Linked DNA regions of Schizosaccharomyces pombe. The protein of the gene in region 2 purifies or fractionates together with the protein of the main gene of each other region. This does not show direct contact. Each region holds a gene or a part of one and is shown on either strand. Other genes may lie near its edges. The genes, in order: pabp, cid13 and rad25.

Region 1 (3,756 bases), 560 kb from region 2:
GAGTGGGCATGCCAGGATACATAGGCATAGGGCCATTATGTCCAGGAACCATAGGCATACCACGACCATTGACGGCAGCAGGAATAGGATAACCACCAGGACCGTAAATAAGAGGACCAGTGGCACCATATTGAACAGCGGGAATGCCGGCAGCAGCGGCAACTTGTTGTTGTAAACGGAATTGGTTACGCGCCTGGATTTGAGCCTCCAACTGACTACGGCGAACCTCCTTACGTTGAGCCAAAGCAACGTAAAGGGGCTTACCAGCAAGCATACGCTGGTTCATCTCAGTAACAGCCTTGTTGGCCTCCTCAGGAGTGGTGTAGCAAACGAAACCGAAACCCTTAGACTTGCCTTGCTCATCGGTCATGATCTTGGCAGAAGTGATGGTTCCAAAGGCAGAAAATTCAGCCTTAAGACGCTCATCGTCAACCTCGTCCTGCAAGTTTTTAATGAACAAATTGACACCTTGATATTTGTTCATCTTCTCAAGCTTCATTTGTTCATAACGCTTACGAAGCTCCTCTTCGCGCTCATGCTTCTTTTGAGCACGACCAACATAAAGCTTCTTACCCTTGTACTCCTTGTCGTTGAGCTCATCAACGGCCTTTTGAGCACATTCGTGGTTGGCATAGTTGACGAAACCAAAACCACGAGGTTTGTCATTCTGATCCTTGACAAGAGAGAGAGAGGTGATCTCACCGAATTGACCAAAGAGGTCGGAGAACTCTTGTTCGGTAATTTCGGTGTCAAGGTTCTTAATGTAGACGTTGGTAAAGTTTGCCTTCAAAGCCTCAACCTTGGATTGACGCTCACGGCGGCTAACATGATGACCGACATAAACCTTTTTGTCGTTCAAAAGCATGCCATTGACATGCTCGATAGCAGCATTGGCAGACTCGACCGAGTCAAAATGCACAAAACCGTAACCTTTAGCATTACCTAACTCATCAACAGCAACCTTGCAGGACAAAATCTTACCAAAGGCGGAGAAAGTGTCGTGTAAAGCCTTGTTGTCGATGGCAGGATCCAAGTTTTTGATGAAAACGTTACCAGTACCCATTTTACGCAAGGATGGGTCACGTTGAGACCACATGATGCGGCAAGGACGTCCTTTGATGAGAGTATAGTTAAGCTCATCCAAGGCCTTCTCACCATCTTCCATATTGTGGAAGTTGACATAGGCATAACCCAAAGAACGGCGAGTAACGGCATCACGGCAAACACGAATACTTGCAACGGGTCCAATACTGTTAAACAGCTCAAAAAGCATAGCCTCAGTGACGGAGGGATCGAGCTCACCAACGTACAAGGAAGCACTGGTGGGAGCAGTGCCAGAGGGAGTGGCAACCGAACTAGCATTAGTAGGGGTAGAGGTAGACTCGGAGGGTTCGGCAGCGGCTTCAGGCTCCTCTGCCTTCTTCTCGGGTTGAGTTTCGGTGGAAGGAGTGTTGGAAGACTCCTCCTTGGTAGAAGACTCAACAGCCTCGTTGTTGGTATTTACATCGCTCTCAACGGCGGCATCAGCTTGCTTCTTAAGATCCGTGGAAGGCATGGCGTTTTCAGAATTTTAAAAACTTGGGCTTTTATGATATTTTTCGAGATTTTTTTAAATTTATAGGTTTTGTGGTTTGCGAAGGAAGGAATGTGTGGTGGGCGAAAATTTAAATCACAGCACTGTACTCCGGTATCTTGAACTCCGAAAGAAAACCCAACTTAATAAATAAAATGTGAGTACACTACGTAAAGTAAGGCAGAAATCAAAGAATTACCATAAAAGAAAAGGCAAAAGAAAACAAAGGAAAAGGCGAAAAAATTTTTGGAAGGAAAAAATATGGAATTGCAGTGCAAGAGTGCTTGTTTAAATTTTGGGGAAAATTTCGATGAGATGGGGATTTCCTTTCTACCAAAACAAACAAGGAATCTCAACGAAATGTCGTAAATATACTTTAATAAATGAGTTTCTACAACTACAGTATAAGGAATAGATTTGGTATGTGATATCGGCACACTAAATAGGTTATTTGAGACACGCACAAATGGTAGGCAAAAGAGTAAAAGGAGGTGAAATTCCGAACAAAGAAAGCACAGGGATTAGGATAGACGTGTCATAAAAGCAAAACAAAGAGTGGAATTTTACGGGACAATGTATGTGAAATTTTATGTTGGCAGGACGACAGAGTATTATAGGAACTTGACTATGCATATGGTTCAATTGAACAAACAGATAAATCGTAGAAAGATTATGAATGTGTGTATAAAAAATCAATTGGGTGGTAGAGAATAAGTTGGAAATTTTTATTGCAATTGCTTTTAATTTTGTTTTGTTTTGATTTCTTTTCTTTTCTCTCTTTTTTTGTAACTAGACTATAACTGAAAAAGACTATCGAAACAGTGTTGGAACGAGATACATAAAACCAAGTTGTTTACATATACGATTATGATCATGAGACGACATTGAGTACGCTATTATTTATTTTTTTGCCTTGTTTTCCTCTTATAACTCGTTATGTCGCATTTCGCATCTCTCTCATCGCCAAAATCTTGAAACTCAATTTAACACATTTTACCGTGCTTACGCTATTTACAGCATATCGAAAAGCGACGACAACTTTGCGCAGTACGGAAATTTAAGCTTGAATGTGTCGAATATGGATTTGCATGGGCGACACAAGCGCCCTTTATCGTATATGGGGACAGTAAGCGCAGATGATGTAAAAATGGAAGTGAGTGACAAAGTTGGGGGGACGAGGGGATAGGAAATCATGAGGAAGTTTAGCGCTATCCAAGGCACCCCAATAACCCTTCCATGGACGTAAAGGTATGGGTAAGAGCCGAGCGTGATGGCAAGTGTAAAAGATAGCAGGAGATAGATTATGGGAGAAAAAGAAAATGAGGACGAGCAATTTATAAGCGGTTAAAAAAAAAAAAAAAAAAAAAAAAAAAACTGTCTCAGTAAGCAATGGCGGATATATATAACCGAAAAAGGGTAGATAAAAAGGAAAAGGACAGGAGAAAACGAAATGGGCAGAAGCGAGAGCCAAAAGTGGCCGAATGGAAAAGTGGGTTAGGGAAGAGGAAGAAGGGTTTCCGTACTAGTACCTTAGTTACTTGTGAGTAATGAGTCACTAATAATAATAAAAAAAAAAGTAGCGCTCGAATCGGTATTGGAATTGAAAGTGTTGCGCTTTTTTGAGGCAATGTCTCAACCAATCGTACCAAACTCTCAATAATTTTCAAGTATACGAACTATATCACTTTGTAATGATACAAGCAAAGTAAAAAGGGAAAAAATAGTAGAGTATTGAAAAATAGACTATATACATGGTTTGTATTTTTATTCATATTCACTACATCTGTTCAATTACAACCAAAAATCATTAAACCCTCCTTCTTTTAACTACAGTGCTGCAAGATCCCCTCTTGTCATTCATCTCTTATATTTTCCATCTCTCTCCATCATCGCCAAATCTTTTTTTCTCGTTACATCTCCTCAAGCCACTTTTTCCTGCAACCCTATTTTCAAATTGGGCATGTCCGATTCTCCGTCAATAGACATGCTGATCAAACACTACGTCCTCTACTCTCTTACCATATTGTACACTTAGACATCGTGGAGGGTCTGCCTAGTCGTGTCTCTTAGTTTATCGAGCATTCCATCTTCATCGAGTATCTGAAAGAGACGAAAATTTTTTGACCCAATATTTCATTGATAAAATTCTCGACTCCTTGTGCCCTTGCCCTTACACCATGATA
Region 2 (3,756 bases):
CTCCAATGACTACACTTACCAATTGTTCCCATATTAGGAAAAGAATCACGGCAGTGCTTGATGATATTCATTACAAGTAAAGATTCTAATTCCACCCGCTCAATAGGGGGAGACTCCAATTCTGGACTACTGAATTAGTTATTTATATATCTTAGTCATTCTTACACATTCAATGAAGTTGTATCAGACATGTTTTTTAAGTCTGCCAAGTAGTTGGTTGAAGTGCAAATTGCTGTACGAACTTCTAAAGGAGTTAGTGTTCACCAGTTTAATGACAAGTAACAACAAGTAGCAACTTTTTAAAGCCATGGCTGTCGGCGATTACAAGTTATAGAATAGAGGAGCCTACCAGTTTTATTAAACCTTTTCTAACTAGTTAAAAAATTTGTAAATTTTTTTTTTGTTTTCTCGGCCTTAAGCTCTATTTTCATGACTTCTTTTACTAATTTACCGAAATATGATTTTCATGCTTATTGTAATTTAAGAGCAGCTTCACCGCCTTGCAAAGTCTTTTTAATATAGTGTAATTGACACTGCATTATACTTGAAAGTTCAACATTATTCGTTGATTGGAAATGAATGTGACTGCTTTTCCGTTATATTTACTATATATACGGGTCATTATCCTCAACAAAACACTATCGACGATACTCCATAGGATCATTTCTATAGTATACGTCCGGCTTGGGTTTCCTAACCTAGCCACAGAACTCAACACGGATGATGATAGGAGGCACCGTTGCCCTCAGAGTGAGGACTTTTAATTCTTTGAAGGCATGCTTTTCGATTAGGTTTTTTACCTAATTGTTTTGCTGTCTTTCTATGCGATGATCTCTTACATGATATGTTTCCTTTTGGTCGTATTATGTAGGGCAGCTGGTGTTTTCTGACGTGTTTAATTTCATCTATTATATTACAACTGTGGTGTCGTTTGATGACATAGATGTAATTTCTAGATGAAGTTGTGTCATGTTTTAGCGTAGATTTTAGTGAATAAATGAAACGATTTCAAATTCCGTTAGATTGTTTGATTTATGTTTCTTATTAAAGGAGTCAATTGTATGGTATTTGGAGTTAGATGGATAGCTTACTTGGCGGCGTTTTTTATTTAATATTGTCTGCTGTACATTCGTTAGTAGTAAAGTATTACACGAACGTTTCCACTCAATTGGAAAGTCAAGTCCATGCTTTGTGGGAGCAACATTGATCATGTATGTTTATGTATTGCTAGTTTGTTTATAGAATAACGCAGATTACGGAATCACGCTATTTAACGTCAAAACGTCAAGAAAGGTGTCAATTATGCTCGTTGTCATGCCAACGTCATTGTTTGCGTTTTTTCTTTGATGATTACTTTGTTTATTGTTTTCAGTTGAAGATTGTAAAAATATCATTAGCTGAACGTTGCTTTAAAGGTGTCTTACGTGAATATATTAAGGTTACTTTATAACGGCGTTGTATATTCATTTGTTACTTATTTACCGATCCTATGTTGATGCCGTACTTGTTCCTTGTGTAGGAAAGCTGATACCTATGTACGTACGTATTGCTGTTAGGCGGTTCTTTTATCCCACACCTCTTCCTAAGAATAGCTACAAACATTACCAACTTCATATTAATTCATCAATACGATCTTGAAACTTAGAAGTACTTCTAAATTGTCTTTTCTTGTCGATAGGGCTCGTACATTTGAACTGTTCTTGCTGGATCGTTTCAGATCAAAGCTGATCATATTACAAAGAACTCACGCCTTTACTAGCTGACAAGGTAGGATAACGTCGGAATCCATAGAGAATTTGCAACTTATTAAACCTTAGAAGCTTCTTACCCTCTTAATACTATGGACAACGCTAATTGCGTTGGCGGTTGCAAATTTGAAACTCGCAGCTTTCAATATAGAAGGCGTATTCCTTATAGCCTCGGTGCGGATCCACTTCCGCCAGTACATCCTCTATCATTAAAGAATTTAGTTGATATTGATACTGATCTAATTTCTTCTCAACTGTACGAGTTGTATGACTCTATTATACTGAACGACTCGGGTTTAGAACGTCGATATGCATTTGTGCAGAAACTCGAACAAATATTGAAAAAAGAATTCCCCTATAAAAATATCAAAACCTCCCTTTTTGGGTCAACCCAATCTCTTCTTGCCAGCAATGCATCAGACATTGATTTGTGTATCATTACTGATCCGCCTCAATGTGCTCCAACGACCTGCGAGGTGTCAGCTGCCTTTGCTAGGAACGGACTTAAAAAGGTCGTTTGCATTTCAACAGCTAAAGTGCCAATTGTAAAGGTTTGGGACTCAGAATTACAACTATCATGCGATTGCAATATCAATAAAACTATATCTACCTTAAACACGCGTTTGATGCGCTCTTACGTTCTTTGTGATCCCCGAGTTCGGCCCTTGATTGTTATGATTAAATATTGGGCAAAAAGACGATGCTTGAATGACGCTGCCGAGGGCGGTACACTCACTTCTTACACCATAAGCTGTATGGTTATAAACTTTTTACAAAAGCGCGATCCACCGATTCTTCCCAGCTTGCAAATGCTTCCTCATTTACAAGATTCGTCTACTATGACTGACGGGCTGGATGTGTCGTTTTTCGACGATCCAGATCTTGTTCATGGTTTTGGTGACAAAAACGAGGAGTCTCTTGGTATCCTGTTCGTAGAGTTTTTTCGATTTTTTGGTTATTTATTTGATTACGAGCATTTTGTTTTATCCATTAGACACGGTACCTTTCTTTCGAAACGAGCAAAAGGATGGCAATTTCAGCTTAACAATTTTCTGTGTGTTGAAGAGCCTTTCCATACATCTCGAAATCTAGCTAATACTGCAGATGAGATTACCATGAAAGGAATACAATTGGAATTTCGACGTGTTTTCCGTCTTTTAGCGTATAATTGCAATGTCGACGATGCTTGTTCGCAATTTACTTTTCCCTCTCTAACTGACACAAGCTTTATGGACGATTATGTAAATGAACTACAATTGGAAATAGTTCCTGGTTTCTCCCATGGTCGTGACTCTTCGGACACCAGCTGTACAGAATCCCCTCCTGAGCCATCACATTTTGCTTGGGCCTTTGATCCTTATAATGCAACCGCTTCTCCCTATTATAATCAGAATATTAATTCATCCATTGACTACTCTTCTATATACTCAAACGACGTCCCTGCAATCCCTCCCAATGTCCCTTATACCTTTGTTGACCCTTACACCTATGCATGCTATATTAATAATAATAGCTATCTTCCACCCTCATACATGGACTTTTATACATGGTATAATTCTCCCTACCCCAAATCTTCACACCATTTTGATGAGAGGCATGGCGGGGATCGTCACGAAAAAAATTTGTCTAATTCTCGGCGATATTCTCGCAATAAGTTTCACAAAAAGAAGCAATCTTCGGGTCCATTCCAGTACTATCCTGATGCCTTCTCTTTTACTCCTACGGATAACAATTCACCTCCTTCAAATTCCTCTTCTTCTGAAGTAGTATCGCCAGTTAGCTTACACAGTGAGCCGGTATTATCCACAGTACAAGCATTCAAGAGTTGATGCTGAAGGTTTGGTGACGTTCGCTGATGGTTCGTTAGTAGCTATCTTTCTATCTTAATTTTTCTAATTCATACTTTTTACATTATTTTTGCATATTGATTTCGCCAATACTTGAGCCTTATTCGCTTGCCCGCTTTCGTTTATCTTTGTTGTCCACTTTACTTCTTCTTTTCTTTTTC
Region 3 (3,756 bases), 2.6 Mb from region 2:
GTCGAGACTTGACAAAGAAGAGTTGCTATATCTATTTGGGCTTAATTCATGATTATTTAATGTTAACGTTACTCAAATGAACTATACTCTACTGCATACTAAACTAAACGTTAAAAAAAGGGGTGGTGTAGTGTAACGCATGTACAATGTATAATAATAGTATGCTTTGATGGTTTTAAGGCCACAAAGCCAAACTAACTACTCATGAAACGTAATCAAAGTTATAAATTTATAAATGATAGAAATAAAGTGCAAGAAGAATATAATGAAGATAACTTTGTTATATGGCTACGAATATTAGATAAATCATAGGTATCAGTTCATATATGCAAAAGTAATCAGACCATTAGGATCCGTTTACTGATAAAATGCTAACGCTTTAGTTTCAAGCTTTAACAGTGTCAGTCGTAGACTCTTTGGGCTCGGGATGTTCGTTTTCAGAAGCAGCAGCGGCAGCAGGAGCCTCCTCCTTAGCAGACTGGTTGTATTCGGCGTCAGAAGTCCATAAAGTCAAGTTATCGCGAAGAAGCTGCATGATTAAAGTAGAGTCTTTGTAAGATTCTTCAGAAAGACTATCGAGCTCTGAAATGGCCTCATCAAATACTTGTTTAGCCAAATGGCATGCACTTTCTGGAGAGTCAAGGATTTCATAATAGAAGACGGAAAAGTTGAGAGCCAAACCCAAGCGCATAGGGTCCGTGGGAGGCAACTCAGCAACAGCAATGTCAGAAGCTGCCTTGTAAGCTTCTAAAGAGCTGTCGGCGGCCTCTTTGCAAACTTCGCCAACAGTAAATTCGGCCAAATAACGATAGTAATCACCCTTCATTTTATAGTAAAATACCTTGGATTCACCGGTTGTAGCGGCAGGAATCAAATGCTTTTCAAGGACGGAAAGGACGTCATGACAAATATCGGATAACTCATCTTCAATCTTCTTACGGTACTCTTTAATCAATGCGGCTTGTCGAGTGTTGCCCCTACTTTCCTCCTTTTGCTCTATAGAGGAAATAATACGCCATGATGCTCTGCGAGCACCAATGATGTTTTTATAGGCAACAGAAAGCAAGTTACGTTCTTCAACAGAAAGTTTATCGTTTGAGCATGCAACTTTCTTCATATTTTCGACCATTTCTATACATTATCAGTTAGCAAAGAAGCAAAAACAAAAAGGAGAGATGAAAGAAGCAAAGCCAAGTATAGACGGGTCAACAAACAGTAATTCAAAACGAGTTATCATTGCATGGTGAAGATATGAAGGTAATAATATCCTTAATTGCGTTGAGGTTTACCTACAGAACGGTGTTTCGTGTTACTCCTGATGTTAGTGAATTTCTTTGTCTTGGTGGTTACAAAGAAACCTCAAATCATAAGAGGAGATAAGAATGATAAGACAATCAAGGCAGTTCAATCGTGGTTTTAAGAGAAAAAAGGAAGCAAGGTAGGAAATAGAACAAAGGCGACAAAAAATAATGATTACGAAAACCATAAAATCAAGAGAATTGCAAGCCGTTCTTGTCCATAACCTCAGATATCATAAACATGTCCAACAACAAAACAATGTTGTAAGAACTCATTTTAAACCTCATCAAGCGATTTTGGGGACATTTTAAAATACACAAGTCATCCACGTACTAACCCATAACCCCTCTTTTTCTCAGCCGCATCAAACAAACAACCTTGCAACATTCAACAACGCAACCTGTTCAAGACCAACAATATTAAAAAACCAAAGAACTCCCACATACAGTAGCAAACTGCAATATAATAACTTTTCATCAAGGTCCCTTCATTGACAATTTCGTACTATTACGCTATATCTACTTCCAACAGCGGATCCTTATCACATACCTTCGTAGCGTTCAGCCTGTTCGGCCAACTTGGCGAGATACACCGAGTTTTCACGAGAATTACTCATATTTGCAAGGAATTATTAAAAGCGGTGGTTAGTTGAGGTTGGTAGAAGTGAGAAAGGAAAGTTGGGAAGGTTGGTTGGTCAGCCGAATATATGACGGACTATACTGAGATTTATGGATATCTAACAGAAACATCACTACACCTCTCTTATTCTTTTACAATATCGTAAAAATACTTCTTACACGTATGATTAGGCTTCCAAAAACAAATGCCAAACAAATGCCCAGTGTCAATAGGAATTCGGTAGAAAACGCGTTTTTACTCACTGAATGAGGAATTGCTGTCTTAAAGTATGTTACAATAAGTTTTTCTTTCGAAAACAAGATACCAAGTATCAAACATAAGCGTGAAAGATTACAGTTAAAACAATGAGTGCAATAATTGAGGAAGCTTGACAGAAACAAGAGGCTTACTTTAGGGGCAAAGAAGTTTTAGAAGGTTTTTTATCACTCTATGCAGGAAGCTTCAAGAAGAAGGCGTTTTTCTTTAGTTTTCGATGGCATATGCGATATGCTTGAATATCCGTAGGAGGCGGCGAAATTCCATTATATTACATTGACTACAAAGGAGTACAGTGAGCTGAAAAGTGTGTGTTATTATGTAAGCTGCTTTTCGGCGTTGTCATCACAGATTGGTGATTACCGCAAACGGTAATTTTACGAACAAAAAAGATCAAATTACATTGTGCTGATTAATTGCTCCTTCAACTTGTGTATTTTAAACTTAATACTTCTTGGCTTAAATGTAAAGTTTTTTAATTCTCGTTGTTCTAAAATTGCATACTGCGTTTATCATAAACCTTTCAAGTTTCCCTGAAATTGTTTCTGTTATCCTGAAACAATACGATATTCTTATATGAAAAAGGTATGAGTTGATTTAAACAAGATAATACGACTTTATAATTTCAGGGTTATTGTTCGCTCATTTCACTTACACGTTTGATGGGGTTTCTACTGCAATGCTGCAGTCCCGTTGTGGGCAACTTGATTGCGCGGTAATACGAAAAGTAGGATTTTAAATTGTTACAAGGGACAATCTGGTTGGGATAAGATTTTTTATAAGTCGCGGTACTTATTTTGTCTAGTAAACAAAACCGTCCTCTTATGTGCAACTTCAGCAGAATTTACTAACCAATTCTATTCATCCTTACAAGAAAATAATTAATTTGCACCAATTTGAACCTGGTTCAATATGTGTAGGCCGGAAATGAATTTAATTATGCTGCATTGGATTCTTACAAATACACTTCAAAAATATTGATGAAATTAAACAAAACTATGCTTAAAGATACTGTATTTTGTCTGGTATATGATTTGGGGGTCTTTAAAAAATTGCCTTCCATATCAATGATAAGCGTCTTAGCTGCCACACCTCAACAACACATCTCTAAAAATTGGCATTTCCTCTGTTGTTTGAGTTTTGTGAAATTATTCTTTAAATATTTTTAATAAATTCAAACCTCTCAATCAAATGTGGGCAGAAATCCTCTCTTTCTCACCAATAGAGTAATTATATAAATAATCCACAAACCGTTAGTTTGTTAAACCAAACGCTATTCGATCTCTTTGGCATTATAACTATTTTGATAAACCAAGAATAATACATTCATTGCTATACAACCTGTCAATTCTTAGCATCCATAATCCTGTTTGAATTATGCCATCCAATACATCCCGGTCAGTGCCTACGGGCTTTTATTACAAACAAAATGCTAGGATGCAGAACAGGCCTAGATTTTCTGATCGTAAACACTCGAGTAAATCTAAACATCGATTTCCAGTGGACCCTAGTTTGCAACCAGACGAAGCGGATGAGGGAACAAGATTATTGGGAAACAGTGAT

What was found.
Region 1: the proteins of cid13 (region 2) and pabp purify together in Schizosaccharomyces pombe (affinity purification with western blotting; one study listed by BioGRID). This does not show direct contact.
Region 3: the proteins of cid13 (region 2) and rad25 purify together in Schizosaccharomyces pombe (affinity purification with mass spectrometry, with the first as the bait; one study listed by BioGRID). This does not show direct contact.

The regions. Positions count from the first base shown.
Region 1 is NC_003424.3:1,540,664-1,544,419, reverse strand, and holds the start of pabp (major poly(A) binding protein Pabp/Pab1), read right to left. Parts: upstream 1,635-3,756; 5' UTR 1,556-1,634; coding exon 1-1,555. UniProt on the Schizosaccharomyces pombe protein: Binds the poly(A) tail of mRNA. Appears to be an important mediator of the multiple roles of the poly(A) tail in mRNA biogenesis, stability and translation. In the nucleus, involved in both mRNA cleavage and polyadenylation.
Region 2 is NC_003424.3:984,832-988,587, reverse strand, and holds the start of cid13 (cytoplasmic poly(A) polymerase Cid13), read left to right. Parts: upstream 1-1,567; 5' UTR 1,568-1,840; coding exon 1,841-3,577; 3' UTR 3,578-3,756. Other genes in the region: tif308 (translation initiation factor eIF3h (p40)), read right to left, coding at 20-126, 166-191. UniProt on the Schizosaccharomyces pombe protein: Polymerase that creates the 3' poly(A) tail of suc22 mRNA.
Region 3 is NC_003424.3:3,582,865-3,586,620, forward strand, and holds rad25 (14-3-3 protein Rad25), read right to left. Parts: upstream 1,978-3,756; 5' UTR 1,916-1,977; coding exon 1,849-1,915; intron 1,132-1,848; coding exon 386-1,131; 3' UTR 264-385; downstream 1-263. Other genes in the region: rrp1 (ATP-dependent DNA helicase), read left to right, coding at 1-52; vacuolar CorA family magnesium ion transmembrane transporter Mnr2, read left to right, coding at 3,571-3,756. UniProt on the Schizosaccharomyces pombe protein: Acts in cell cycle and stress checkpoint signaling by sequestering signal transducers regulated by the checkpoints. Required for the DNA damage checkpoint that ensures that DNA damage is repaired before mitosis is attempted.